3 linked regions of the Callithrix jacchus genome follow. The protein of the gene in region 1 interacts with the protein of each later gene in a pairwise test. Links are inferred from orthologs where the notes say so. Each region holds a gene or a part of one and is shown on either strand. Other genes may lie near its edges.

Region 1 (10,576 bases):
CACCACCATTCTTTATAGTTCTAGAAATAGATGACATATTTTCATTAAATTTTCAAAATGGTAATTTAACCATATTTGCTTAAAGGAGAGTATCTCTGCAAAAATGTTGTTTTCCAATGAGGTCACTCTAAATGGATTCTTTATTTGATGTCATAATTAGTTTCAAATTTACACATAGCTGACACAAAAAAAAAGATAAAAAAAAGCATAAGGGATCAACTACAAAAGTTATAAACGAATAGTATATCAAAGTCATATTTCATCTAAAATTACAAATAAAACAAATCATAAAGAAACAAATAGACTTTAAAAGGCATAATTTTAAACAAACAAATCTTAGAGTAAACCTCAATAATTAGATTCTAGATGTTAATTTTTCCCATTTTTACTAGATGTCTTAAATTAAAATAAGGGTTATTTCCCAAAAAAAAACCATTATCTTCAAAATGTTGATTATTCTAATTGATGGTATTTTAGAATCGCTGGAATGCCCCTGAATTCTAGTCTCAATTGTTGCACTAATCCTTAAATTTACTGAATGTTTTTACAACAATGCACTTGTGTTATGGTCATTTTGTAATAGTCCCAAAAGGAAACATTAATAAATAGACCAACCTAACTTGTAATGAACAGCATGAATTTGCATATTGTTCACTAAGTATTGAAAATAATTTGTTCTCTTAGTATATTAACCATGCTGAAACTATGTTGTTTATACTTTTAGATTACTGGTACCCTTTTTTTCACATCCAGTGGTGATGTAAACTTCAGACAACAAACACTGATGATATTCACAATAAATTTAAATTTGTGATATTGAATTAATAAGGTTTCACTATACTCAAATTGAAAACCAGATATTCGAAAATCAACTGATGGTAAGAAAATGTCAATAAAATAAATTCACAAGTTCTTCTTAGAACACCACAAATAAATGACATTATTTACCACTCCTCTGCATCATGGTCTACAGTTACTACCAATGTAGCATATTTGTTTTCTTTTTAAGTAGTATTACCAGTCTCACCCAGCTAGAAATACTAGTGGCTGGAATCCCTATTTACTAACATTTAACTTAACTAGCATCATCTTGCTTCTATGACCCTAGTATCTTTTCAGAATTCTCCTATGAGTACTCTATCTACACAAAGTACATAAGCTAATACACCTGGAAAACAGCTCATTTTGTAGCGCCAAAAGCAACCTTACACAAAGCACTTAGTTTCTGAGAGATTCCACAAAACTCTACCCAGAAATTTATCCCTCAGCAGCCTGCCATAGTTTCTAAAATATCTACCATTACAATCAGTTTGAGTTAAGGTAAAAGTCCCATCACAAAATACTTGGAGATGGGAAGAGAGGGAAGGAAGGTTAAGAGATGTAACAAAGCCAAACACTCATTATCACACAGGGTTTAATTTCATCTAAGTATTTTTAACTATCATGTAGCAAAGTTCTGTGACCAATAGGGAATGCTAGGGCCAGACAATGCATTCCGGGCAGGAATAGAGAGAAATAGAGAAAAGCCAAAGTTTGGAACAAAGCCTGTAGAATACAACTAAGAGAAAAATCAGGATGGGGTTGGGGAGAAGAAGATAGTTCTTCTATTTATTGCCCTCAGTTTGCTGTATGTCTCTTTAAAAATATAATGTAGAACAATAAATGGATCAAATTATTTTGATTTCCAGCAAATGTCATTACCGAGATGTTTTCTCTGAATTTTTCTACTTTCCATTATTTTAATCCAAGAGCAGTCAAAATGAAACAGCACTAGTTTTGCTAATTGAAGTAACTTTTTCTCCTGGGGTAATCTAAATGAATACCTTTCGTCTCCACTGCCATCATTCTCTTTCATTTTTAAAGTTTAGAAAACTGATCAGGGTCTCTGAATACATACTAGCAGATTCTATAAACCTCAAAAATAACATAGTTGAAACAAACTCAACCTACCTCTCTGAAGCTGCATTCTAAAAGCACAATTAGGAAAACAGTCACATCATGTTACTACAAACCACAAGCACATCTTTATTTGCAAAGAGCAATTTGTTATACAACAAAAGCCAGATGACACTAACAAAGAAAACTGTAAGTAAATATCATGGCGCGCCATGGTAATAACGGTCTGAATAATTATTTCTGTATTATGTATAGAAAATAATACTACATATACTTTGTAAAAAAGAGAAAACTTAAGGGGCACAAATAATTCCTTAAAGATAATTTCTTTTCTGTATTAAAGAATGAGTTAAATGGCCATTGAGATGGAGTTCTAACAAAATTTCAAGTAAAATCATGGTCTCTTAACTCCATATTATCTAATTTTTGCAAATATAAAAAAATCATTTGTTAATGTTTCACATCCAGCATACACATACTTTCCATTCATTGAGTAGTATACATATTCAAGGGGAAATATTATTTCACAGAAGTCTAATAATCAAAATAGATTATTTCAATAACTAATCATAAAAATGTTATTTATGACAAAATGTTGAATCCAACCTTGGATAATGCCTTTCATGCTGATAATATAAAGTCTACAAGAAAACATAGGATAAACAGCAACTGTGCATCCACCTTAAAATCAGGATTCATCAACAAAACCTCTATAAACAAAATTTCACATTTCACATCTGACATCAGGATCTCTATCAAAACAAATGCAAAATTAACTTTTCCTATTTTGAGTCTATTATCCACACTTGTATTTCAGTTCTGCAAAAGTATGTAAATAGAATTTTTGAAATTATGAGTGGGTGTGTGTACCTAAAATGAAAAGTCATTTATAATGATACAGCATTGAAAAAAAGCAAGGCAAAAAAACTTTGGAATGGTTGAGTGGGCTCTTCCATTTTAAATGATAAAGACACTAAGCCAGAGAGTATAAACATTTATTTTTACATGTTCACCTGATGACTTTACATTCACATTAAGAATCCACATCCTGTGATTTAAAACAGGGACTGTGACCTTACCTGTGCAGGACTGTTTTTTTTAATTGCCAACACATCCACTGGTATCATTTGAATAGTAAGCTTTACATTGTTTTGATCTTAACCTAGATTGGAGTTACGTCTAAACTTCACACATTAAGGAGATAATTGTCATTCTCTGATATTTCAGCAGAGAGTCTCAATTTTTGAAAATGTCAACAGAAGCCTTTAATGCAAAACACAGGTCTCTTTCCATGAAAATCCATGCCGGCAGAAAAAATAAAATAGTTGTGCATCTCTCTGCAGCCCTATTTCGAATCATTTTTGCAGAGCTATTTCCTCATTATGTTCTGGGTATACGAATCTGAAGCACTGAAACTGAAGCAGGAATGATTCCAGTATAACCAAAATAAAAGAAGATATTTTGTTCTTTCTGAAAAAAGGGAAAACAATTTCCCCCATCACCACCACCACTCACACAGAAAAATTACTTTCAAAACTGAATAAGCCTGTAAGGAGAAAGGATCATTTCGGAAATCCCAGAGGGACTTGTGTATCATGGTCTCTGGGCTGCTGGGTCACTTCACTTAAGTGCTCATGGTGCAAACGACTTGATTGCATTGCACCCTAATTGCATGCTCTGGCCACATTAGATACCATCTCTGTTCTACACACAACACACATACACATTACACCAGCCAGTGCTGTTTCCAATTTCAGAGGCCCGCTTAGCTCACAGCTCATGCCCATCTCTGCTTAGCTTGTCCTGACCCCAGGAATGAGAGATACTACTTAATCAAGGTGGATCTGCTCTGTTGCTTCATCCTTCCAGGATTCTAAGGATGGTTCCTCCCTCACTACACCTAGGAATACAAGGAGGCCGGTGGATTACCCTGCGATAAAGAGAACCCCAGCCTGTCCCCTTCCTAACTCCGCAAATCCCAGTTTCTCTTTGCCAGCAACCCCAGTGCCATTCCCGCCAGGAGTATATCACCCCGGAGGCAGGGAAGAGGGGGCGATAACAATAGGAATCAAACAGCCCGTTACAAAAGGGATGCCAGGGCACGGAGGAAGCAGGTGGAATGAGGTTATCACTTGGGAGGTGTGCACGAGTGGAGAACCCTTCAGAAGCAATGACAGGTCGGCGGGGGACAGCCGGGGATAGCGAGGAAGGCTTGAGAAGTGGTTTTCGTGTCTCTCCAGGGGCGTGCGAGGGAAATCCCTGGGCGGCGACGGCTGGTGCTCTCGGGTCCTTACCCACCTCCCGCGCCCCCCGCGGCCACCCTCCAGCCAGCGGCCGCCCCCTCCCCCGCCCCGCGCCCCGCGCGGAAGGAAGCGCCTGGCTCCCCCCACGCTCTCCCGCTCTCTCGCGAGTCCTGTGCAGGCCCTTCCAGGGGGAGGGGGAAGGGGCGCGGAGGGAATTGCTGCAATGGAGCGCCCACAGAACCCTGCCCGAGCGAGGCAGTCGGTGGAAAGCCACGGCCACATAAAAATGCCATATTAATTTTTTAAAAGCCATAAATCACCCGTCCCTCTGCAGAAGAAAACCATAAACCCGATCCCATGCAAGCCTGAGAGCAGCCACCCACTTCCTATTTCTGTCACAGCAGCTACACCCTGCCAGCAACCACCCCCCGGGCGCCCCCTCCCGCCACCGCCACCCCCGCCGCCGCCTCCCCGCCGCTCAGCCATTTGCCAACTGACGCCCCCGTCAATAAAAATGCCCCAAGTGAGGACGGGTGGGACGCGTGGGGGAAGGGCGCCGCGGGGGCGGGGGGTTCGCGGGTTGCACAATATCCTAGAAGGTCTGCGGCTGGAGAGGGCAGAGGAGAACCCGGGGCGGGGGAGGGGAGGCGAGGCTAGCTGCCCTGGCGCCTGCGGCACACGGTGCACCCGGGCCACCGCGGCGCTCCGCTTACCTTTCACCACCCTGTCCGTCGTCGACAACTTGGGATCAATTGCCTTGGGCTCGGACATCTCCAGCCGCCGGAGGACAGCGACGCGCTGCTCGTCCCTCCGACTGCACACCCCGACCGGACCGGCGGGCCAGACACTCAACACCGCCGCCGCCGCCGCGCTGCAAACCGCTCGGCTGGAGGTCTAGGCTCTGAGCTGGCTTTAAAGTTGCTGCCTTCTCCGCGCGTCCCTCCTCCGCCGCCGCCGCCTTCACTCCTCCTCCGCCGCTGCCGCCAGCCCCGCCGACTCGCTCCGGGCTGCGCGTGTGTGGTGATTATTTATTTATTTTCTGAGCACGCCTCCCGGTTCTTCTTTTATTCTTGGGGGAAGGGGGATGGGGAGGAGAAGCGCACACAGGAGCACCCACCACGGCACGGAGACCCGGCACCGCGGAATGGAGCCCCACGCGCGCACACACGGCCGGGATTAAGACCGATCACATGGGGAGGGCCGGGGGCGAGGGAGGAGAGGCAGGGCCGCCGGTGTCAGTGCCACCAGCCGCACCTTGGCGTCCCCGGCGGCGGAGAGGCGGCCGCCGCTGCTGCCGCTGAAGCTCCTGCTGCTGCCGCTGCCGCTGCTTCTCCACACCGAGCGCCGCCGCTGGTGCCGCGGCCGCCAGAGACGTCCCGCCGTCGCGATCGCCCGCGCTCGCCTCCGCCTCCCCGCGCCGCTTCTCCACTCACACGGGCACAGCAGCGGAGCTCGGCAGACACAGTCCCGGGCACAACCTACTCCTCTCGGCCGCCTCCGCCGCCGCCGCCACCGCGCCCGCCTCCGCCTCCTCCCCTTCCTCCGCCCGGCCCCCGCCTCTCGCGCGCCGGCCACCTCCTCCTCCCCACGGAGCCCGCCCCCGACCTCCCGCCCCGACGTTGGAGTCCCGCGCGCTGATTGGCTCGGTTGTGCATCACTCAGTGCCAGGTGGCGGCCTCCCCGCTCGTCCCGCCTCCCGCTCCTCCTGGTTGTCCCCGCCCCTCGCTCTGTTTTCTCCTGGCTGCCGGACCAGCGGGCCTGCCGCCTCCACCGCCCAGTCCCTGCTCAGGTGTCACTGTTGCTGGCAGGCCGAGATTAGGGAAGGAGAGTGGGCAAGGGGTCGCGGCCCAGAGGAGATGGGCTGTACCACGCCACCCCTCTGTGGCCTCCGAACTCGGACCCCGCACACACCCCCGCGCCTGTTTGGCAAGCGTGCCTTGTCGGCTAGGTTAAGCCGCAGTGTGAGTAGCCAAGTGCGGAGGGTGTCTCCTGGTGTGTGCGTGGCCCACGAGAGGGCAAGGAGAGAGAAGGCGGGGATAAGAGAGAAGGGGGTGGGGGTGTGAGGCAGCCCTGAGAGGGAGGAGGAAGGAAGAGGCTGGGAGCTCGGCGCCCGCGGCGCAGCTGCTGTCGCTGTCGCAGCTGTCCAGGGAGTATCGCCGAAACGGCGACGGATAAACAACTTACCTTTCGGAGAAGAGCTGCGACTGCGATGGGGTGTACGGTTGTTTTTGCTTTTGCCAAGCGAAAGTGGGGCTTTTGCGTTGGCGGTGTGGCGGCTGCTACTGTGTCCCACCCAGGCGTGCACCACAGTTCCAGGGCGCTGTGGAACGCGGGAGCGGGCTGGCGGAAGAGGATGGGACCGAGCCCCGGCGACCCCGGGCAACTCGGAGTTCCTTGCGGCAGCCCTGCGGGTCTCCAAGGAGAACCGAGGAGAAGCAAGGAAGAGGGTGACCTTTTCCCCATTCACACACACGTACGCAGCCTCTGGCCGGGACAGGTGACACCCATCTTCCTTCCCTGCTCCTTCCAATCATTCGACACCTGCTTGGTGCTGCCGGTGCGGGCAGAGCCTTGGAGCCCAAAGCGAATCCCCACACTGGTCCCTCCGGTCGGAAGGAAAGTGAAGGAGAGAATGTCAGGCGCGCCAGGGCTGAGAATGATAGTGGTCCAAATGCTTCTTCCTGGCCCGCCTGCTGAGCCACAGAGTCTGAAAAAGCCGGTCTCCCTCTACCAGAAGGTCACCTCCACACAGCCCCTCTCCCTGAACAACCGCAACACCCGAGGACTGGCAACATGGTTGGAGCTTTTTGGGGCAATTATGAGGAAATCTGAAAAAATGTATTACCCTTCATCCTTCCTATTATATTTCCAAAGTCCTTCAGTATCAGGGTTTTTCTGTTTCCTCAATTGGACCACGGGTCCAATAAATGATTTAAGGTACCCCCCCCCCAACAGACACACCACACACACAAAGAAAAGATAAACAAGTTTAGGGAGCTGGGAGATGGAGCCAGGAGAAGTGTTTTGGAGACAAGGATTAGATTAAAGCTCAAACTTGAAAATTAAGTTTTAGTAAGAGACTGATGGTGCTGCAGCATGACTTTGATGTGGACTGCACGGAAAAGAAACACACACTAGATACTTCTGTGGATGCCTAGCAAAGGGAGCAGATGCAGGGTGTGGCCCACCAGCCCAGGGGGGCTGCCACTGGCACTGAGATTCTCCTGCCCCATTTCCAACCCCAGGATACTGGGTGGCAATTAGACAATTCATTCAATAAATACATTTTCTGTACTTGCTATATGCCAGACACTGTGGTGGGTAATTTGGTGGGGGGAGAATATATTTGAAAATGGTCCTTGCCCTCAATAAAGCCTAGAATTTTCAGAGAACATAAAATTATGAGCTCTGAGACATCACTGTAATCTCAGGAAGGGGTTGTTGAAAACAGCCTCCTGAACACGAGCAGAGCTGGTTGCTAAGGCAGATTTGGGAAGTTGGTCCCTGGCCAGATGGCACACAGTGAGGGAGCGATGCCAAGACCTGTGGGTGAAGAGGACCTGTTTCAGAAAAGACCAGGAAACCATGTCCAGAGATGCTCATTTCCAAGGCCAAGACACTCTCTCTCACATATTAGAAAGAAAATGAAGTTCCCACTGTTACTTGGACTTTCTACCAGGTATAAGATAAACATCTTTGAACCAAGATCAGAAGGCTTAAAATGTAAGCACCATAGAAAATTTTATGATAGATAGGAAATAAAGGCACACCTTTCAGGCACACCCTTTAGTCCGCTATAAGTCTAGGACACCTCCTAGCTAAGGTATGTGTGGGGAAAAAGTAGTTATGACTCATAATCACTTCCCAACACATTATCAACAGGAACTTTTAATGCCTGTGTATGATTCCATAACTGCTGCAACACTGACACTTCTTAAACAAAATTAGATCCTGCTTTAAGGAAAATAGGACAGCAGCATATTAACTACAGACTACTTGTGTTCATACACCTGGCTTTCTGAAGTAGACAGCCAGATCATCTTTTTGATTCAGATATTGTTTCAGATGTCCTATGCTTTCCTACTGCCACTCTTTTTCTGTCCTATCCAGAGGTCCCTAACCTTTTTGGCACAAGGGACTGGTTTTGTGGAAGACAATTTTTCCATGGGTGGGGGTTGGGGGTGGTTTCAGGATAAAACTGTTTCACCTCAGATCATCAGGCATTAGATTCTCATAAGGAGCGGGCAACCTAGATCCCTTGCATGCACAGTTCACACAAAGGTTTGCACTCCTGTGAGAATCTAATGCCACCGCTGATCTGACAGGAGGTAGAGCTCAGGCAGTAATGTTTGCTCACTCTGCTGCACACCTCTTGCTGTACGGCCCAGTTCCTAACAGATCACAGACTGATATCAGTCTGTGGCCCAGGGTTTGGGAACCCCCATGTTAGACTGCCCTAGCAGTCCATAATTATATTACCACTTGCATGAGAATACTTATATTTGGAATTTACATTTTGAAGGGGTTGCTTCAGTTCCCAGATGCTGACTTTGACAATGTCCTGCTTATCAAGAAATCACAGGGGGCAAAAACTTGAAAAAAAGACAACTTTTTGTCTATCAGAAAATTGTATTTTTCCTTCCTTAGTATGATTCCCCCTGTGAATTATCTGCCAGTAAGGGATTCCATTTCTAGCCTGACACTGCTTTCCTCTAAGTAGGTAGTTCTGATCGGTGGACTGTGGGCTGAGGTGGTTGGTCTCTCTCAGGCTGAGACAGTTAAGCAGCAGATATACATTTTCTAGTCGATGGGCTCCCATCCTTTAGCTGAATGCAGAAACTTCTAAGACCCAGGACAGGCCGAACCCCAGAGATAAAGAGAGTCCCTTAATTACCACGCAGAGGAATGCTGCCCACTTATTAAGAAAATATGCATTGGGCTTTACACATGTATTGTGTTACTCCATTAAAATGTGTTAGAATAGCTAATATTAACAAATTAATATACAAAAGTAATTTATTATGGTAGTTCAAAAAGTACAATGCTTAGCAAAACCTAGAATTATTGTTTTACTCTAATATAAGAGAACTACCAAAAAACTAAAAATACTTATTTCTTTTAGTACATGAGCATGGAGTCTTAATTATCTGTAAGTGAATATTCATTGACCACTTGTGTTTTGAACACCTGTTCTTTGCAAGGCCCTATGCTACATGATCCATAAAAGGGAGTAAGGAAGGATTCAGAGATTTCGTTCTTTCATTCAAGGATTTAAATGTCTTGTTATATGATCACTAGATACATATTATCTATCTATGCAAACATTTAAGTGTCAAGTGTTACTTCCTCTTTCTATTGGAGAATAACTACTAGCTTTATCAAAACTAATCATGAAGATAAATATGTGGGGCAAAAAAGAAAATATTGTAGATTTGGAGTCATCTATGCATTTAAGTGCGCCACACAGCTTACTTCCATTGGTACAAATCATAGTAAATTAAGTACATTTTAGTTTACTATTAAGTGCTCTTTCAGTTGCTTTATTTTTAAAATTAAAATAACATATTGTATGTTATATTCTGTTTTGGAAATAACCTGGTTTCAAAAGCTTGAACTTTCCTTTGGTTCTTGGATAAATTTGTTACCCTTTGGACATTACAGTTGAGGGATAGCTTCTGATTATGACTTTTCTGAGGCATGCACTTTCTTCTGAGTAGCTGATGGTAGACAGCAGTATGTCTGACCTATCCTTACTTGATTCATGGAACACAATGCTGAGGAACCTGCAAGTAGACAGTCAACCATGATAGGGCCATGAATGTATATGAGATTTTGGGTTATTATCTTAAAGCTAATTCCTGTGACATTTCCTTCTCACATTGTCTAGTTCTACCCTACTTCAATAGAGGTCCTATGAAATTTGCTATTCTACATAGATCTTATTTGAGGTTCAAACCAAAAGAAAGTTTTATTGCTTATTTTTTGGATTACTCTTGAAATTTTGTTGAGCCTTGTTTCTTTTGGAAGGCAGTTTTACTCATTTAGAAACGTTATTTTTCAAGGAGCATTAAACATTTTTATACCAAAGGAACTCAGGAATAAATTTAATTTTTTCCCATCAGGATTAAACTATAATTTATGGAGTTTTATGCCAAGTGTAATACAGAGAGAGATATTTTACATAAAATTTGGCAAGACTATCTGCCATCATTATTCATTTGTATTTAATAAATATTCATATTTATTTTATTTATTAATATATTTGTATCATCATCTCAAATCCCAGTTTTGGGCACAGAGTAGGTGCTCAACAAATTTTGTTGAATGAATTTTTAAAACATAGTGGTATCTACTATGTAAGTTACTAGCCTAAGTAGCACCAGTTCTACTGTCAGAGGAATTTCAGTATGACCCAACAAATTAAAAACATGAATACT
Region 2 (10,253 bases), on another chromosome or scaffold:
TTCACTTTTAAATATGATATATATTTGCTGGTAGCTGTCCAAGTCTGTTAGCACCACATATAGTGAGTTAGAGTGTTTTCAGAGAAGATGACTTCATCTTTTTTAATGTTTAAAAGTTGTACAATTAAAAGAAACTGACTTCTTGGGTCATGTGTTTTAAAGGACACACTTCATCTCGCTAAAGTGAAGGATTCCCCCCACAACAAGATTATATGTGTGAAGGTAGGGAAATATTTTTACACTTCAGCAAAGAATCTTGCCAATAATATCCATGATTTGGTTCAATTTCAAAGTCAGATTAGTTTCTTTTGTTAGAGGTCTCAATGTGTATTTACAGAATGAAACAAAGATGATTCTCTAGGACAAATTAGCGAATACTTTCTATAGTCAATCCATAAGCAATGCAATACTTCACCAAGATCATTTAAAATCAGCTAATATGCATTCTTTCCTCCAAGTGGAGATCTTTAACAAATGCCTTACATCCCATACTTTATTACTTCATCTGTTTCAAGTAGTAACACAATCACTCAATTTACACAATGGGAGACTATACACTTTGAATCCTAACCTGTGAGGTAGGGAAGTGCATTATGGCCATTTCACACAAGGAGACTGAAATAGGATTACTTTTTAAAAAAATATGGCAATCACTGATGAGATTAGATACTTCCCTTTCAATCGGTAAATAAAAATGCAAATAAGCCCTTCTCATTTTTGTAAAGAATATCTGGATTGAAAATAGCGATGAAAAAGTTAATTTTCAATATCCATGTAAAATGCTTTTTACTAGTCTCTCTCAACACATAGACACAAAGGAAAACTGACATTTAAATTATGTGCTTCAGCAATAACTTTTCACTTTCTATTCAACCATATTCATGGCTCATTTTTGGCCAAGAATAAATAATATTTGCCCTAGATTATTAGGATTTTCCAGGACCATTACTACCAAGCTGGCTTTGAATTTGCTCTCCCCTCTTTGGAGAGAGGTTGATGAATATGGCTCTTAAAGAAGTTAATTCTGCAAGATGAATCCTATATTATCTGTGACAACTTACTAGGGAATTTTTCCTTCTCCTGGATGAAGAATAATATTCCCCTTTTGTTTTTGCTGTTTCATTTTTAAATTTTTCACAGATAAATCCATGCAGAAATGGACATATACAGATCTGTTGAGGCAGAAAGAAGAGAGGTAAAAACCCACTCCCTGTTTCTACCCTTCTGTACATAGTAACAATTTGCCTGATTGAAGGATTTGTGAATGGCTTTTTTTTTTTTTTAATTGAGACAGTTTCCCTCTTGTCACCCAGGCTGGAGTACAATAGCACGAATTTGGCTCACTGCAACCTCCACCTCCCAGGTTCAAGCGATTCTCCTGCCTCAGCCTCCCAAGTAGCTGGGATTACAGGCGTCCACCACCACGTCCAGCTTATTTTTATATTTTTAGTAGAGACAGGGTTTCACCACTTTGGCCAGGCTGGTCTTGAACTCCCGATCTCAAGTGATCCACCCGCCTCAGCCTCCCAAAGTGCTGGGATTACAGGCATGAGCCACTGCGTCTGGCCAAATGGCTCTTTCTTATAAAGGACTTAAGCAAGACTAGAAAACCACTCATATTTAATTTCAATATGCATATTCTGCACAGTATCTGCTGAAATTGGGAAAATGCAATATATTTTTCGAGTTAAGCCTAATGTTTAGGAATGTAACAATTACAAATCACATTCACAAAAGTAGCTCACCTTATTCACCATTTTAAACAACATGTATGTCCACTATAAAAAATGTTTTTAAAAACTCATTGTGATGTTAGCCTATACACAGAGCTGAATTATCAAAAGGAAACCAGACTTTGTTATATCAGAGGTCATTAAAGAGCTTATGGCATACCATAAGTGCTCAATAAATACATTTTCCTCCCCCAAAGCACTCCAGTCTCCGTATGCCGTTTTAGCAACTCCCTGTATGTTGTGTTACTTTACACAGTGCGATCCGTGCTGACTTCCTCCAATCCAGAAATGACTGCATTTCAGTGGTAGAGTTTTATAAACTTCACCATCTTTAGCACTTCTGCACTGTAATTGTACCTTTAAGTTCCAGAGATGATAAATCTCTCATTCGTTACTGAGTAAGAAATGCCACAAATGTATAAAATAATTCTTCATTAAGCTTGGTTTTTCTCCCATGACTCTGGAGAGTAAGTCACTGTAGAAGATTGTTTATTTTATCATCAGAGGCCATTTCATTAACCAGCTGTTCTATTGACAACTGAATCGCATTCTTGACAAGAGAAGAGGCTGTTTCAATTAAGAGTGTTTCATATTGTTCTGAAGTTCTATCCTCAAAACCATTATCATTAGCAAAAACCCCTACTTGCTCACTTTCCGTTGAAATTAAGAATTGCTTAGGGACATTTTTAGATTTCTTAACATCAAATTCACTGATTTCAGTGTCTGTAATAATAATAGCAATTGGCTCCATTCTTTTGCTTTCTTCTGATTTGGATTTCTCTTCAGTGATCCCATTTTCTTTAAAATCTGGTTCTTGGCTCAATTCAGTATCTTTTGGCTTAGTTTCTTCAGCTACAGTTTCTCCACTTTCATAGTCTTTCCCATTTGGTGCACTTTCTAGGATATTGTTACTGGCTTCTTCCACAATTTGTTGATCTGGGATTGCAGGTAAAGGAGTAACATCAGAAAGTACTGGTTGCTCATGGTCTGTTTCTGAAGTTTCAAGTGGGCTTGCTTGCTGGGGTTGAACATCTTGTTTTTCCTTGATTGTTTCAATTTCTTCAAGGATTAGAGTTCCCATTTGAATAGCAGAATGCCCATTATCTAATCCAAGTTCTACGGAAATCACTTTCTCTCCAGAAGTTATGCTATTGCTCACATTTGATTCACAGACCTCATCACCATCTTTCCGTGAGATGCCTTCACTTAGATCCTGGGTTGACGTAGCCTTTGTTGCCTGATCGCTTGATGGGGTCTGTGTTTGTATATCCAAATTTTCAGCCTCTCCCTGGACTTTGATGCTGCAGACTGAGTCTTCTATAATTTTGGAATGATTCCTCCTTTTTGGCCCTCTTTGGAATTTTATGCAGGGAATCTTAAGTCTAGATTTTGCCTTTTTCTTAGAAAGACCAGCATCCTCAGCATTTATTTCAGGTTGCACTTCAGCCTCCAATTGCTTTTGCTGCTTTGAAGACTCCAACCTTTTCCTTCGTGTTACAAGATGTTTGAGTGAGGCCCAGGCCCCCCGTGGGGGCTCTGGCTGATCAGAAGCTCCTGCTTCTTGGGGACACTTCTTTGTTACATCAGCAGCTTCAGAGCCAGCTTTGGGCTTCAATGCTTTAGCTGCTTTCTTTCTTCTCTTGAAGCAAAGCATGGATGTTTTTTCCTCCTGTCTTTCAGCCTGAGGACTACCTTCTGCTGATCTCTTCTCATCCTTGTTTTCTACATGAATTTCTGAAACTGTGGTTGCCATTTTCACACTGTACTCTTATTCTCTAGAGAACTATATTCTCTCTTCCTTAGCCTTTTGTGACAAAAAGATGGGCAAAAATGTCACACTAGGTAAAATTTCTTCCAGGTGTATTCATTCCTTTCATTTTACTCCATGCAGTTGTTTTAGGTGGTTTCTCTAGTATAGAAATGCCTACTTTCTCTATTGCTTGCAATTTCTCTCCTTAAATTTCTTCATGGAAGCCCTTTACTGGATAAATTTTTGCTTTATTTAAAGATCAACCTGGTGAGAGAAAAGAAAGTGATATTTTATTTCACTATGAGGCTTTTCACTATTATTTTCTATGGAGACTTTTTCAGTTGAATGTATAAGATTCTACCAGACATATTTTCCATGTATTTACTAATGAAATGGCTGGAGAATAAAGACTGGGGTTTATTTTGGCCCTATTAAAGAGTTCAATGTAATTCTATTTTGTTTTATCCTCTTTGTTGAAACTTCATTTTGGATTACTCTGCAAGTCTGATATTATCAGTTCTTTAGTTGTGCTGTCTGTATGAATTGCTTATGATTCTAAAGTGCAAGTTAAGCAATCAACAACAAGAACCAAAAATGAAGTACAGGATAAAAAGCAAGCTAATGTAATTTTTATCACACTCAATAAATAACTTAAAACTGCAAAGGACTTTAGAGATTATTTGAGATTACTCAAATCCAGCCAAATGACAAAACTGAGCTCCAAAAGGGAGCAACTGTCTTGTCAAAAGCCATGCGGATAGACAAAGTCATAGCCAGAGTTACAAGTAGAGACTTTGACACTCTAGTTTTTCCATTATAACATAAGGTTTCTGTTCTAAAAATGTATGTTCCATCAAGGAAGTGCTACTTTTCATACATACTCTTAGAAAAATTTAGCATTACTGTCATTCTACACTCTTAAATTAGTTGTATAATTTTGACATTTTGATTTAAGTACTATATCTGCTGTATCATGTTTCCACCATAATATGCACATAGTTGGAGGTCAGTAATAATAGCTGACATTTATTGAGCAATTCTTGGGTATTAGGCAGTGCACACACTTTACATACATTTCTATTCCTCACCACAATATTACCAAGGTGGTACAGATGAAGCAGTTTGGCTGAGATTAAGGCATCGCTGTAACAGAGCTCAGATTAAACACAAGATTACTTGTTGCTTAAAGCTTATGTTCTGAAACTGGGCTTTAAGAGTTTCATTAGAAAATGAATCCTTTGGGGATACTAATCTGCAGTATATTCATAGTAAAGAAATTTAAAAACTGATTAATGGTCATTTAACCACAAGGTACCCATTAATCAACTCATAACTGAACCAAGACCAGACTGAGTTCTTGTTATTTGAAAACCAAGCTTTTGAAATTCTTTATATTTTATTTTTTTGGTTCAGGAAATAATTTAAAAGCCAAAAATAAGTTGACAAACTATGCAATTGGCAAACTGTTAGATAATATAAAAGTGTATTGAAAATTTAATCCACAGAATGGTATGATAGCACTAAAGAATGGAAATGGGAGGTGATTATCTAACAAAGATCCTATGAATTTTAGTGGGTGGACGCCCTAAAATAAGCAAAGGGACTCATTCTTTATACTGTTTACATGTAAATCCTTCACTGAAGTTTCATTTGGGTAACCCATAATTTTATGAGCTGTAGAAGGAACTGGAACCCTGAAAATCAGTTTATGATAAGTAAATATTCCCTTAGGTTGGGTGTTTCATACTTGATGCCTCTACGAGAAAGATAAAGTCATTCTAGAACAATGATAGAACTAAAATATGAACCATTTGACAGTGTTTCTCCTCACATTTATATGCTGCAGTGAGCACTAGAACCTCAGCTGATAACTTTAAATCTTCTCACCTCTTGTGAGTTTTCAGCACCTGAGCATTTTTGTTAAGCAGAGGATGTATTATCACATAATAGAAATATTGAAATGAGATGTTTAGGAGTGTATCATTTAGAAACTAACCTGGATTGTGCAAAGCCAATGGTTTGAGAAGCTTACTTAAATGTATATACACTCTAGAAATAAAATGAATACCCAAACAGAAATTTAATTGAAAGGGGGAAAATAATTCTGTCTGTAGATATTAAAACTTTGCAGAATGTCAGACTGCAAATGATTTCCCTTTAACCAGCAAGGGTATCTTTATCGCCTCAGGAAATCTTAAAGTCCCTGTGCTCATTTCCTGACAGAATTGCAAGTCTCCTGTCACAGAAAACACCCTTTTTCCCTTTCTCCCTTGAGCAGCAAAGAGCAACCACTACCCGAGGAAAGCAATGTATCCTTCCCAGCACCAGATATGGACCACGAAGCTTCCTCCTGGAGGAAGGAATCTCGAATTCTGGCTTGATGCCCCTTATGGCAGGAGACAGCGCGCAGGATAAAGTACTCAAAAAGGAAAATGCTGGGGGCGTGGAACAGATAACCCAGCTTCAAGCTGTCTGTAGAATTATAATGTAATGGCTATAAACCCAAAATCACATTTCCCCAAAGGGATAAAGAAGGAAAAAAGCCACCGGCAACCCTTGCTTCTAAGACCAGCTGTAACGCGAAGGAGATAGGTGGGCAGACCTGATGAGGGTCGCCCTGTCCGCGGATTCCTGCAGACAAGCCACCTCCCGCGATCCCAGCACCTCAGGGTGCCCGGATCCCCAGTGTCCAATGGACACCCCCTGCTCACTCTGCGATCCGCAGACCTGACACTGCCCCCGGCCCTCCTCCCCCGCAGCCTCCCCGCCCTGCCTTCACTCACCGAGGGCGCAGGGGTCCTTGGTCAACACTGCTCCTGAGGTCGCGGCGCGCTCGCGGGGCCCGGCACCCAGGCCTCCAGGGAGCCGCGGTCGCGCACGGAGCAAGGCGCCCTCTGCGGAACCCGCCGCCTAGTGCGCCCCCTCCCCACCGCGCGGGGACAGACAGCCCGCAGCACCAATGCGAGCGGAGCGAGCGGGCAGGGGCGGGGCGTCCGCGGGAGGTGGGGGGCGGTGCGGGCGCCCGGACCCACCTGCAGCAGCAGCCTGCCTGCCGCGGGGAAGTCCACCATGCTCCGCCCGGACGCCAATCCCTGCCGCCTGACCACCTCAGCGCCGAGGCGAGGACGGCGAGAGAGCCAGCCGGAAGGTTGGGGGACCGCGGGGACCAGGGCAACGAACCCCGCGTTTTCTGAGACGCAAAGTAGTGAGGTCGGGTTTCAAATTATAGACGGTCCCATTACACTTCCCCTCTCCTCCGCCTCAGAAAATTTAGACAAGGCAGACATCCCATTTTAAAAGAGGGATTCAAAACTGCATAGAATAGGTGTCCTGTTTGTCTGAAGCGAAAATTACATATATGAATGGAAACGGAAAGAAACCCGACTTTCTGAGGAGTGGCTTGAGTGTTAAGGAGTTCATCGTGGTTCATCACCAAACAGGCTCTCAGACCTTTGTTTCCCAATAGTACGCAGGTGGAGGTGATTCGCGCAGAACTTTGACCTGCAGGAGCAGCTGCATCTCTATGCAGACAAGGTGAGAAAGGCACAAGAACCCAGCTCCATCCATCTTATACTTTACATAGTAACAAAAATAAGTTGAGGTAGCTTACAAGTTACCCATGATTCCCTTTAGGACATTCCTAGCTGCCTACTTGACATCGCCACTGTCAGTGAAGTGGGGTGGTGGGGTGGGGAGGCGGGTGGAGAACAGGAGAGGACATTGCTCACAATTCCAGTCTCAGTCACAGCAAAGGGTGCAGGCACCATCTGCCCACCTGATTGACTAGGTTACGTATCTTCATGCATTTTCGGAGCTTGCCATAGTGAAAAATACCACAAGTATTTATTTGTACACATAAAGCATTAACATGTACTTTATGAAAGGTGATGCTGTTAGAGTTGAAGCTGACTTGCTTTTGGGTTAGTACTCCCTATGAGAGTATTCCTGGGCGATCCAGCCATAAAGTCTAGTAGAATCCCTCACAATCCCAGCTTCCTCGTCTGTCCCCCACAGCATAGCATCCAGATGAACCTAGTAAGGTGGAGTGAAGAACTACTGAAAAGCAGCTGTGCTCATCTCCTTTCTTCAACAGGATCAAGATATTAGGGCATATAAATGTCAGGTGTCCATTTTTGGATGTTTTTCTGGAAATGTTTTATATTTGTAAGATTCTGTAGTTTCCACAGAGGCTTACCAAGGATAGAACTATTGGAACACAAAAGCAAAGGCAAATATAAGCTGTCAAGATCTTAAATTTACAGGTAAAAGAGACAAGAGTTGTAAAGCAGGAAAATCCATAAGCATCAAGTTTAGTTGTAATTAAGAATTCAGGGCTGGGTGCAGTGGCTGACTTTGTGAGGCCAAGGCAGGAGGATGGCTTGAGTCCTAGAGTTTGAGACCAGCCTGGGCAACATAGGGAGATAAAAAAAATTTAAAAATTAGCTAGGCGTGCGTGGTGGCACACCTGTAGTCCTGGTTACTCAGGATGAGATGGGGATCACTTGGGCCCAGGAGGTCAAGGCTGCTGTGAGCTGCTAATGTGCCACTGCACACCAGCCTGAGCAACCAAGTGAGACCCTGTCTCAAAACAAAACAAAACTCAGTCAACCTTGTTCATTCAGCAAACATGTCTATGAAAATGTTCTTCATGTCTCTCTATGGGTTGCTAGCCCTGCTTCTTGCCAGTTTTGAACTTTAAGCCAAAAGAATTCCATGATACTCATGAGAACTATTCCTTATTGAGATCCAAGGTTTCTGAAAACTAGCAGACCTGGGAGTTGCAACAATTTCAGACCAAAAAATAAGATGAGCTTATTTAGGTGCAGACAGGGTAGAATAGCTGTCTTATTTTTATTTGGGACAGGATCTTGCTCTGTTGCCCAGGCTGGAGTGCAAGTGGCACAATCCCTGGCTCAGTCCTCCACAGGCATGTGACTTCATGCCCAGATGCTGCTGCTGCTTTTTTTTTTTTTTTTGGTAGAGACAGGGTCTCCTTATGTTGCCCAGGCTGGTCTTGAACTCCTGGGCTCAAGTGATCTTCCTGCCTCAGACTCCCAAGGTGGTGGGATTACAGGTATAAGCCACCATGCCCAGCCCCTACCAGTATTAAGGATTTAAACCCACAAGGCTTTTGGCAATATAAGAAAACCTAAGTCCTTTAAGATGACCTTTAAGTCACCATATCTGACAAGACTGCATCCTTGCCTTGTCTATAAAATGAATTCCCAGCAAATCCCATTCCAGATAACTTTCACAGGACATTTAAGAAATGTACCAGAAGCAGCCGGGCACAGCAGCTCATGCCTGTAATCCCAGCACTTTGGGAGGCCAAGGTGGGAGGATCACTTGAGGCCAGGGGTTGAAGACCAGCCTGGCCAACACGGTGAAACCCTGTCTCTACTAAAAATACAAAAAATTAGCCAGGCATGGTGGCACGCACCTGTAACCCCAGCTACTCAGGAGGCTGAGGTGGGAGAATTGCTTGAACCCAGAAGGCAGAGGTTGCAGTGAGTGGAGATCACGCCCCAGCCTGGGCAATAGAGCATGACTCTCTCTCAAAAAAAATAAGAAAAGGGAAAAAAAAGTACAGAAGCAATTAACTCTGTGCAAACAGGGCCTGGATGATGCTTTTCAAGAGGAACTGACATTGAGTGGTTACAATGTACCAGGGTCTGTACAGAGCATCTTAGATGATGTGTTTGAATAATTCTAGAACCGCCCTCACAAGGTAGGTACCAACAGTGCTCCTATTTCCATGGTGAGGATGTGGAGGCAGGGAAGTGGGTGAGTAGTTCTACCCTGTGCGGTAGAACTGGGACTCTGCATCATGACCCCTCAGCCATACACCTCTCAAGGCACCACTATCATTTCTGTGGACTGTAAAACTGACTGTATTACAACACTGATGTGAACCCAGAGAATTGAAAATAATAAAACCAAGGTCACTGGGAAAACTACTGCTCTGCCAACATCAGCAGGATTTGGCATTGGCACCAGAGGGATGCAGCATCCTCTGGAAAGTCATTGGAGGAAGATAAGGGGAAAAAGGGAAGGAAACAACTGGGAGAGGAAGAACAGAGATAGAGGATGCAGAGCAAGAGGTGAAGGAAAAATATTTTACTTTTTATTTAACAGAGTCTAGCTCTGTCTCCCAGGCTGGAGTGCAGCAGCATGATCCTGGCTCACTGCAGCCTCTGCCTCCTGGGTTCAAGGAATTCTTGTGCCTCAGCCTCCCAAGTAGTTGGGATTCTAGGTGCCCACCACCACACCCGGCTAATTTTTGTCTTTTTGGTAGAGATAGCGTTTTGTCATTTTGGCCAGACCTCAAGTGATTCACCCACCATTCCCTCCCAAAGTGCTGGGATTTCAGGCATGAGCCACCCCATGCCCAGCCAGAAGTGGAGGAAAAAAATATTAGGTTGGTTACCAAACTAATGTTTTAGAAAAAAGGAAGTCTGGGCCAAGCACAGTGGCTCACGACTGTAATCCCAGCACTTTGGGAAGCTGAGGCAGATGGATCACTTGAGGTCAGGAGTTCGAGACAAGCCTGGCCAACATGGTGAAACCCCATCTTTACTAAAAATCCAAAATTAGCTGGATGTGGTGGCGCATGCCTGTAATCCCAGCTACTTGGGAGGCTGAAGCAGGAGAATCACTTGAACCCAGAAGACAGAAGTTGCAGTGAGCCGAGATCGTGCCACTGCACTCCAGCCTGAGCGACAGAGGCTCTGTCGCCAAAAAAGAAGAAAAGAAAAGAAAGTAAGTCTGTA
Region 3 (10,472 bases), on another chromosome or scaffold:
AAAGATTCCCCATTTCCCAGGATGTGGACCGGTTCCTCCAACAGGTGTGAACCTGTAAGGAGGATGGGCTGAGGGGGACGGTAGGCAGAGGCCCCCAGGTGGCTGTAATGCCATCACCACATCAAAAAACAGAAATTAGCCATGTGTAGAGGCACATGCCTATCATCTCAGCTACTCGAGAGGCTGAGGCAGGAGAATCACTTGAACCCAGTAGGCAGATGCTGCAGTGAGCCAAGACAACACAATTGCACACCAGCCTGGTGACAGAGTGAGATTCTGTCTCAGAAAAAAATTAGAAGAGATGGGACTCTATGTTGCCCAGGCTGCTCTTGAACTCATGGGCTCAAGTGATCCACCCACCCTGGCCTCCCAAAGCCCTGGAATTACAGGCACGAGCCACCATGCTGGACCCTGATTGAGAATTTCAAGGAGCGACAACAGAGTGTTGAACACAGCGTGGGCTTTTGAGACTGGCCCTGTGGCCGCGTGCAGGACGTATCCAGAGAGTGGGCCCTAGCCACGGGGCCCGCCATATCCCCAGGACTCAGAGCCCGGTGCGTGCACACACATCCTCTGTGAGCACTGCTGTCCGTGGGTGGACAGGCCGGGAATGCTGGGTGACTCTGGAAGCTGCTCTTGGCCAGTGATGAGTGGGAGTGGGAGGATACACACCCCACATCTCACCCCTCAGGGGCCCGCTCACTGAAGGGATCCACACTGCCTCCCCAGAGGCCTCCATGGCACCTTACGAGCTCCTTCCCACCCTGCCTGGCCTCTTGCACAACAAAAGATCAGCCATGTCCAGAGACAGGCCTGGCCTTTCCCCCATCACTTGTAGCCTTCAGAGAGTCCTGCCTGATGAGAGTGTCTTTGTTTGCCGAGGTCGTGGGCTACACAGGGTGGCCTAGGCTCAGCATGGGATTTATGGTGGGGCCTGGGGCTACATGCTGTCAGCTGACCTTTGGAGAAGCTGGAGACTAAGGTCAGCCATGCGGTGTCTGCCACATCGATGTGGCCGAGCCCCGATGAAGCCTCTGGACACTGAGGTTCGAGGTGTCTCTGGTTGGTGATGCTCTGTGCGTGTGGTCCCACATCGTGGTCAAAAGTTAGCACTTGCCCACTCTCCACAACTCAGCGGTCAGAGGATGGCTGGGAGCCTGCGCCTGTCCTGTCCTGGGGTCTCCTGCCCTCTGCTGATTTTAATCTGTATCTGCTTGCCATCATAAGCCATCAACAAGATGCACATGGCTTTTCTCAGTTCTTCTGGTGGATGATTAGACCTGGGGGTGGTCTTGGGGACCCCTGAACTGCCTTTCCCAACTCCCATGGGTGTCCTGGGACCGCCTCCAAATCTCCCCCTTACGCCCAAAGCCTCAGCTCAGGCCTTGCTCTGGGGACCCTGAGACACAAGAAAAACCAAACTCAGGAGACGCCACAGAAAATGAATACACGCCATACACACACACACAGCCACACATACCTGCACACACACATGGATACACATACACATCACACATGCACACACGTACACACACATACACAGATGCATACACACATCACACACTTGCACACAAACACCACACACACTCGCATGCACACACCTACACTCATGGACACAGACACACACAATCACACATGCACACAGATGTACACACAGATACCACATACACAGATGCATACACACATCACACATACACACATACACACACACCTACATACACAGATGCACATTCACCCACATATACACAACTGCACCCATATACACACATCATACATGTACACATTACATGTGCAAACACACATGCACGATACATACGCATGCATGCACATACATGCGTACATGCACACATGTATGCATGTCACATATGCACACACCTGCACAGACCCACTCATGCACACACACACTACACACATATGCACACCAATGTCAGAGTGCTCTGTGGGAAGCTGGGAACACTGACCATTTAGTGTTTGAGACTGATTGAGACAAGGTCTCATTATGTTGCCCAGGCTTGTCTTAAACTCCTGGTCTCAAGCTCCTTCTGCCTCAGCCTCCAAAGTGCTGGGATTATAAGAGTGAGCCACCACACCTGGCACCGATGTGAGGTTGTTAGAAAAACCAACACAATATTGCCTCTCACCCTACAGGTGTGTTATCACCAGGATCCTACAGCTGGGACTCAAACGAGGTCCATGTGACCTCAGAGCCCAGGCCTGGGCCATGCTGAAGCCTCCACACAGGCTGAAAAAGAAGGGGCTCAAGACCTCCACAACGGCCTGCACACCAGACCCGCTCCTCCGTGTTAAGTGTCTCTCTTACACCCACGCTGTGCCTCGTGTGCTCCATCCACCGCCGCCTCCTGACCCAAGAAGCAGGAGTCACTGTTTGAGGCCAGGTGCGGTGGCTCATGCCTGTAATCCCAGCACTTTGGGAGGCTCAGGTGGGCGGATCACCTGAGGTCAGGAGTTCGAGACTAGCCTGGCCAACATGAGGAAACCCCACCTCTACTAAAAATGCAACAATTAGCTGGGTGTGGTGGCTCCTGCCTGTAATTCCAGCTACTGAGGGGGCTGAGGCAAAATAATAACTTGAACCCGGGAGGTGGACATTGTGATGAGCCAAGTTCATGCCACTGCACTGCAGCCTGGGAGACAAGAGGGAGACTCCACGTCAAAAAAAAAAAGAAAAAAGAGAAAAGGATTGACCATTTGTTACAGAGGATCTTTATTTATATGCAAAAAAGAAATTATAAATCCCATTTTGGACTGTTTCCATATCTGTAAAAGAACACTTTTACGCCTGCAAGACGTTCTTGTTTGTGTTGATGGCAGAGACCCATGTTTGCCCGGCCCAGGGGACTGGGAGGGTGTGTTTGTCCAGAAAAAGGCCTTTCCCTGGGACCCCGACAGCCAGGACCATGGCGCTCTCTCTTACCAGGCTAGAGTCGGCAAGAACCTGGAGGCGTCAGGGGTGCGTCCACTCAGCGGGGCCTGGGAAACCCTGTTGTAGAAGCAGGCAGGCCGGATTCCTTGCTGGTCCTGCCACGTCCTTCTGAGCGGCAGCCCGGATTTGCTGTTCCCATCCATGGTGCTCGGCCCACCTTCCCCAGGCAGCCACGCCCCCGGACACCTGAAGCCAGGACGCTGGAGTGAGAGTCCACCAGATCATTGGATGACACCGCCTCAGGCTTCCGGGTCCATTTCTTCGTCATCTGGGCATGACCCTGTCTCATCCAGCCAGACTAGGAGAAAGAGGGATGGACACCTGGATGCACCCTGCCCCCACCACACCCAGGCCCGCCTCCCTGGGAGCTGCAGGGCAGGGGTCTCTGGGTGTCCTTGTTTTCTGGTGCTGCCAGAGGCTGAGATGGGACCCAGTGATGGTGGATCCATCTGGGTGAATCAGACCCTGGAGATGCTTAAATTTAAGAGAAACCTGTCCCAGGGTTCAGGAACCTCCCTGGGGCTTGGACCTTGGAGAGTAACCCTGTGTCTCCGCTGTGCCCACACTGGTCCTGGGAGCAGGGAAGATGGTATGATCCCACTTTATAGGTGAGGGCACAGGCTCAGAGAGGGAAGGGACTGTGAGAGCCGAGCTAAGGACTGGGCCTCTGTCTGCCCACACTTGGCTCTCTGATTAGGCACCACTGTGGTGCCGGAGCCCAGCTCTTCTCCCACCTTGCTGTGTGCCCCTGTGTGAGGCACTGTCCCTCTCTGGACCTGTTTGTTTCCCCATTTCTTTTCCTTTTCCTTTTTTTGAGATGGGTTTTCACTCTTGTTGCCCAGGCTAGAGTTTGATGGCACGATCTTGGCTCACTGCAGCCTCCACGTCGTGGGTTCAAGCGATTCTCCTGCCTCAGCCTCCAGAGTAGCTGGGATTACAGGCGCCCCCTGGCATACCTGCTAATTTTCTGTATTTTTAGTAGAGACAGAGTTTCTCCATGTTGGTTAGGCTGCTCTTGAACTCCCGATCTCAGGTGATCTGCCCGTCTCGACCTCCCAAAGTACTGGGATTATAGGCGTGAATCATGGAGCCTGGCTTGTTTCCCCATTTCTAAACTAGAGATAAGGGTGGTCTTCACCACCTCACAGTTGGAATGAGAATTACATGAGATTTATGAAAAGCATTTAGCCAGTGCCATGCACTCGGAAAGGTCACAGAGGAATGTGCCCCTATTGCAACCACCATAACACCTGCGCTGGCCCAGCCCAGGGGGCCTGACAGCTTTCTCCCAGTCACTTGCTCTACTGAGCAAGGGGAGACCCAAACTCAGGACATGTGGAAGGGTCTATGGAGTCCCCCTCCCAGACAGCCTTCCACAAACCCTACACAAGCCTCATGGGTGCTGTGTGCCCTGCACGGGTCCAGGAGGACCCATGTCATGATGGCTATCAGCTGACTGGTGCCACCCGCAGGGAGAGCGTCCGGCCTGGGGGCCGTGGGACGAAGCTCAGATCACATAGCCTGGGGTTCTATCCCTGCTGCACCACCAACCAGCAGCATGGCAAGTGTCTCAACCTCTCTGAGCCTTAGTTTACCCATTTCTAAAATGGGGGTGTGGCTGGGCGCAGCGGCTCACTCCTGTAATCCTAGCACTTTGCGAAGCCCAGGTGGGTGGATCACCTCAGGTCAGGAGTTTGAGACCAGCCCAGCCAACATGGTGAAACCCCTTTCTACTAAAATACAAAAATTGGCCAGGCATAGTGGTGGCTGCCTGTAATCCCAGCTACTCAGGAGGCTGAGGCAGGAGAATCACCTGAACACAGGAGGCAGAAGTTGCAGTGAGCCAAGACGACGCCACTGCACTTCAGCCTGGGCAACAGAGCCAAACTCCATCTCAAAAAATAAATAAAAATAGCGCAGTTACAGTGGCTCATGCCTATAATCCCAGCACTTTGGGAGGCCGAGGCAGGTGAATCACCTGAGGTCGGGAGTTCAAGACCAGCCTGACCGACATGAAGAAACCCGTCTCTACTGAAAATACAAAACACTTAGCTGGGCATGGTGGCCCATGCCTGTAATCTTAGCTACTGGGGAGGCTGAGGCAGGAGAAACGCTTGAACCCGGGAGTTGGAGGTTGGAAGTTGCAGTGAGCCAAGATCTCGCCACTGCACTCCAGCCTGGGTGACAGAGTGAGCCTCCGTCTCAAACAAAACAAGACAAAAGGAAATCCATTCATTACACTCAGTACGGTGCTACCTATCACGACCTGGTATCACCATTATTGTTATTATTATTCACAGCAGCAGCCTCAGTACCTGGCGTAGGCCCAGCTCAATAAATCTCTGCTCGCTGAACACGTGAACGAGTCATTCCACCAGCTCCAGAGGGGCAGGTGGGAGCGCGATTTGGGGCTCTGTCTCCCACCCCCGCACCCTCTCACTGGGAAGAACTCCACTTCCTCCCCGTTCCCGGCAGTGAGCTGCATCTGGAAGGCCCAGGGTCCAGCCCCAGCCTTGGCATGGGCGTGGGCTGTGTTTCCAAGTCTGTCCTGTCCAGCCACACGGCAGCGGCCAACAAGATGGAGCAGTGGTCCTCCCGCTGGCAGGGGAAGGAGCATCCATCAGTTACCTTGGCTGGCGGGAGCCCTGGCGTGGCGGGCCAGCCTGGCTCCATCCATCAATTGGCTGGCAGGGGCTGTCTACTAATTACTTAACACGCCACATTGCGCTGAGGCTGGCGCCTTGGCGGGGGGCTCACATTGCAGTGTACACAAGTCTGACACTAAATGGTTAATGAACCCGGGGGAGGCGAGGATGCAAGCTCAGTCCCGTGCCCAGAAGCATGCCCCTGAGAGCGGTCTCTGCTGGGCCCCCAGATCCGACCCGGCTTGCTGGCGCAGGGGGCGGCCTCACCTGAGTTCTCTGAGTCCCTCGGCAGCATCATGCCTGTGGGGGTGGGGGGCGTGATGATAATGTCGGGCACGTCCAGGTTCTTGTCGTTCAGGACGGGGGCCTCGTCGTGGCTGCTGCTGCTGCTGCTGACACACATTTTAAAGCCTGAGAAGCCAGGCGTGGAGCACACACGCACGTACACACATGACAGAGAGACAGGATCAGTGGCCGCCAGGAACCGTGGGCCGCCCCCCCATTCACCGTCACTTGAGTCCTGACGCCTCACAGCAAAGGGCGCCGCTGTCCCCGCCCCACAGATGAAAACCCGAGTCTCAGGAATGCTAACTGAGCCCCTGTCACATCTCACAGAACCATGAGTCGGGAAACAGATTTTGGGAAATGCGGCTCACAGGCCAGTCAGCCTCTGGGTCCAGTTTTCGTCCTTCACCATGTGGCCCAGCTAGTTCCAGCTTCACCTGCAGCCATCAGCCCCTATACTCCAAAGCACTCATACTTCCCCAGACTCCCCGGCTCCCTGGGCCCCTTCATGCCTTTGCATATGCTGTTCCCCTGGCCTGGGACGCTCTTTCTTTCTCTGCCAGAGTAACAAGCTCCTCCTTATCCTTCAAAGCCCAGTGCGCCAGGCTCTTCCCTGGGAAAGGCACCCCAGCAGACCTGCGGCTCCCGCTTTTGCCCATCTGCACTCACTCATTCATCAATGATTTTTTTTTTTTTCGTTTCTGTCGCTCTTTGCTGTGAACACCAGGAGGACAGTCACTACTTCATTCACCTGTGTTTCCCTTGAGCCTAGGACATGCTCATGACAGAGTAAGTAGGAGTGCTTTACATTCTAAATGCTGGCCGGGAGTGGTGGCTCACACCTGTAATCCCAGCACTTTGGGAGGCCGAGGTGGGTATATCGCCTGAGGTCAGGAGTAGGGGACCAGCCTCACCAACATGGTGAAGACTTGCCTCTACTAAAAAGACAAAAATTAGCCTGGTGTGGTGGTGCACACCTGTAATCCCAGCTACTCGGTAGGCTGAAGCAGGAAGAGAATCACTTGAACCCGGGAGGTGGAGGTTGCAGTGAGCTGAGATTGTTCCACTGCACTCCAGCCTAGGTGACAGAGTAAGACTCTGTCTTAATTTTTTAAAAAAGTCGGGGGGGGGGGGTGTTGAGGTGGCTCACACCTGTAATCCCAGCACTTTGGGAGGCCAAGGTGGGTGGATCACGGGGTCAAGAGATTGAGAACATCTTGGCCAAAGTGGTGAAACACCATCTCTACTAAAAATCCAAAAATTAGCCGGGCATGGTGGTGGATGCCTGTAGTCCCAGCTACTCGGGAGGCTGAGGCAGGAGAATTGCTTGAATCTGGGAGGCGGAGGTTGTAGTGAGCCGAGATCACACTAGTGCACTCCAGCCTGGCGACAGAGTGAGACTCCATCTCAAAAAAAAAAAAAAAAATAAAATAACATTTAAATGCAACCAAAACCATCAGTCTTTGTCTCTACACCCGTCACTCTGGGGATTGCCCCAAACAGTGCCAGGCTAGGATTAAATTAGCTCAAGCACCAGAGCCCCTGACCAACAGGAGGCGCTGAGTATAAGGGGTTGGGGGGACCTATTTTTCCTAATGTTCTCAGGCCTCCCGTGACCACCATCAGGGCAATGTTCCTAAGTGACCATCGTAGGGTCAGTGTGGAGGTTCTAAACTACGGCCCTACGAGGTGGAGTGTAAGATGGACTTAGTGACTTGCTTCCAACAAACAAAATAGGACAGACATGATGGTGCGAGACTTCCAAGGTGAGGTCATGAAAGACATGGCAACTTCCTTCTTGCTCTCTCTTAGACTGCTTGCTCTTGGGGAAGCCAGCCGCCATGTTATGAGGATGCTCAAGTGGCCTATGGAGAAGCCCATGCGGGTGAGGAATTAAGACCTTGAGCCAACAGCCATGAGGGAGGCACCTCAGCAGCAGAGCCTCCAGCCCCAGTCCAGCCATCAGATGAGCCTCCAGCCCCAGTCCAGCCACCAGATGAGCCTCCAGCCCCAGTCCAGCCACCAGATGAGACTATAGCCCTGGCTGATTGACCCTGAGCCAGAACCAGGCAGCTAAGCCACTCCTCAATTCCTGACCCACAGAAACTCTGAGATAATAAAAGCTTGATGTTGAAGCCTCAACGTTTTGGCATAGTTTGTTAAGCAATGATAGATTACCGACAGAGTCAGCAAATCTTTCCCTGACCTCGGGAGGAAGGGATGGCAGGTGCACAGTGGGGATCGCATACCTGGCTGTGGTATGTGAAATCACAGGGGGCTTCTCAGGGCAACCTTTGTTCACCAAAGGGGTGTTCCTCTGAGGGGCAGGTTACCTCTGGGCTGTCCGGGACAGTCTGTTTGAATCCACAGAAAGCATGTGCACCTAGGGGACCTGAAGCCATGCCATTCAGGCCAAACTCTTGGTTCACTTGCCCCTTGATGAAAGCTGTAGGCTCAGAAAAACTGAAGGCAGCACACACACTGACTTTGGAATCAGGCCACCAGCTGTGTGACCCTGGGTGCACTGCATCTCCTCTCTGGACCCTGTGCATAGTAAAGAATCTGGCCCAGCACTTTGGGAGGCCGAGGCAGATGGATCCCCTGAAATCAGGAGTTCAAGACCAGCCTGGCCAAGATGGTGAAACCCTATCTCTAATAAAAATACAAAAAATTAGCTGGGCATGGTGGCAGGTGGCTGTAGTCCCAGCTACTCAGTGGGCTGAGGCAGGAGAATCACTTGAACCCAGGAGACAGAGGTTGCAGTGAGCCGAGATCGCGCCACTGCACTCCAGCCTGGGCAACGAGAGCGAAACTCCATCTCAAAAAAGAGAAAAAAAGAAAAAGAATTTAACCTTGCCTAAAAAGAGGTTGATTTCTGTCCGCAGTTTCTGGGAGGTGCTCTCTCAGCCCTTGGAATATCCTGCTTGATAGGAGAGTCTTTGTTTGCCGGGGCCTTGGTTATACCTGGCTTCCAAAGATGTGATTGATGGTGGGGGCCCTGGGTCATGCCCAGAGAGACGGCAGCCTGCAGCCTGAGCTCCAAGTGAGCAATCAATCAGCCTCCAGAGAAGCCCCCATGCCTTCGTCTCCTGCGGTTGCCACAGCAAACCGGGGGGCTGGAACAAAGGACATTCATTGTCTGACAGATCCAGAGGTCAGAAGTTCCAGATCCAGGTGTCGGCAGGGCTGGATCCTCTGGAGGCTGCAAGGGAGACTGTTCCAGGCCCCTCTCCTGGCTTCTGGTGGCTGCTGACAATCTGGCGTTCCTAGGCTTGTAGAAGCATCACCCACCTCTGCCTCTTGCCTTCATACTGTTTCTCCCTGTGTCCTGTCTCTGTCCAGATTTCTCCTTTTTGTTTTTTAGATGGATCTCAGTCTGTTGCCCAGGCGGGAGTACAGCGGGATGATCTTGGCTCACCGCAACCTCCACCTCTTGAGTTCAAGTAATTCTCCTGTCTCAGCCTCCCGAGTAGCTGTGATTACAGGCATGTGCCACCACGTCCAGCTAATTTTTGTATTTTTAGTAGAGACAGAATTTCACTGTGTTGGCCAGGCTGGTCTCAAACTCCTGACGTCAGGTGATCCGCCCGCCTCGGCCTCCCAAAGTTCTGAAATTACAAGCATGAGCCACCAAGCCCGGCCCAGATCTCCCCTTTTGATAAAGACACTCGTCCTTTTGTATTAGGAGCTCACACTACTAAAATAACCTCATCTCAGCTCAGTACACCTGCAAAGACACTACTCCCAACAAGGTCACATTCTGAGGCCCTTGGGGCCAGGAGGATTATTTAGGAATTTTTGGGAGACAGAGTTCAGCCCATAATGCCCCATAAGAACTGTGGCCACTGAGGCCAGGGGCTTCCCACCTGGCGATGCTCCGTGCCATCACACACCATCGTCATCGGCGGGAGGAGTGGGCGCTGTCCACAGCTCCACGGGGAGGGACGGTAGGAGCCTGTGCCTGGGGCCTCCTGGGATCTGCCCTGTGAGCACCTTCCCTTTCCTCTTTGACCTGGGTCCCTTCCCTGGAATGAGCCATAACCGAGAATCAAAGCCTCCAGTGAGTTCTGTGAGTCCTTTCAGCAAATGAGCAAACAGGAGGGTGTTTTGGGGAACCCCCAAACCTGCAGCTGGCGGCAGAAGGGTAGGTGGTCTTATGCACCCCTCCACGTGACAGTGAGTCTAACTCTTCACAGACTTCTTGTTTTCATGGACAACAAGCTCAGGGTGGTAGTGGGGGAATCAGCCACTACCTGGGCTGGGGAGAGACTGCCACAGTCCCTGGCACACATGACCGGAGTGAGGTGACCGTGACGAGCCACCTTCATTCTATGCACGGTCACTGACCTCATTCTCAAACCCACAGTGACCAGCATCCTCCTCTCCCCCCAGCCACTGCCCTCCCCCGCCACCGTCACCTTCCCACCCTCTGAACCCCAACCCTGTTCCCTCCTTTGGAAGACTCCTGGCCCCAACTGGAGAGTTTGTAGGAAGAGGCGACCTTTCCCCGACGCAATGCTTAGCCCCCACACGGCCCCTCCAAAGCAGGCCTAATGCAGTGGGTTTTGAACCTTCTTTTTTTCGAGACAAGAGTTTTG

Evidence for each region.
Region 2: the proteins of PPP3CA (region 1) and AKAP5 interact in binary tests that used the Homo sapiens proteins (3 or more experiments, as listed by UniProt). The link is inferred for Callithrix jacchus from reciprocal best matches to the Homo sapiens genes PPP3CA and AKAP5.
Region 3: the proteins of PPP3CA (region 1) and C20H16orf74 interact in binary tests that used the Homo sapiens proteins (3 or more experiments, as listed by UniProt). The two-hybrid records come from large-scale screens. The link is inferred for Callithrix jacchus from reciprocal best matches to the Homo sapiens genes PPP3CA and C16orf74.

The regions. Positions count from the first base shown.
Region 1 is NC_133504.1:96,028,681-96,039,256, reverse strand, and holds the start of PPP3CA (protein phosphatase 3 catalytic subunit alpha), read right to left. Parts: upstream 5,645-10,576; 5' UTR 4,911-5,644; coding exon 4,853-4,910; intron 1-4,852. UniProt on the Homo sapiens protein: Calcium-dependent, calmodulin-stimulated protein phosphatase which plays an essential role in the transduction of intracellular Ca(2+)-mediated signals. Many of the substrates contain a PxIxIT motif and/or a LxVP motif.
Region 2 is NC_133509.1:99,113,051-99,123,303, reverse strand, and holds the start of AKAP5 (A-kinase anchor protein 5), read right to left. Parts: upstream 6,380-10,253; 5' UTR 6,267-6,379; intron 3,748-6,266; 5' UTR 3,487-3,747; coding exon 2,206-3,486; 3' UTR 1-2,205. UniProt on the Homo sapiens protein: Multivalent scaffold protein that anchors the cAMP-dependent protein kinase/PKA to cytoskeletal and/or organelle-associated proteins, targeting the signal carried by cAMP to specific intracellular effectors.
Region 3 is NC_133521.1:43,377,506-43,387,977, forward strand, and holds the end of C20H16orf74 (uncharacterized protein C16orf74 homolog), read right to left. Parts: intron 6,001-10,472; coding exon 5,857-6,000; intron 3,243-5,856; coding exon 3,184-3,242; 3' UTR 2,709-3,183; downstream 1-2,708.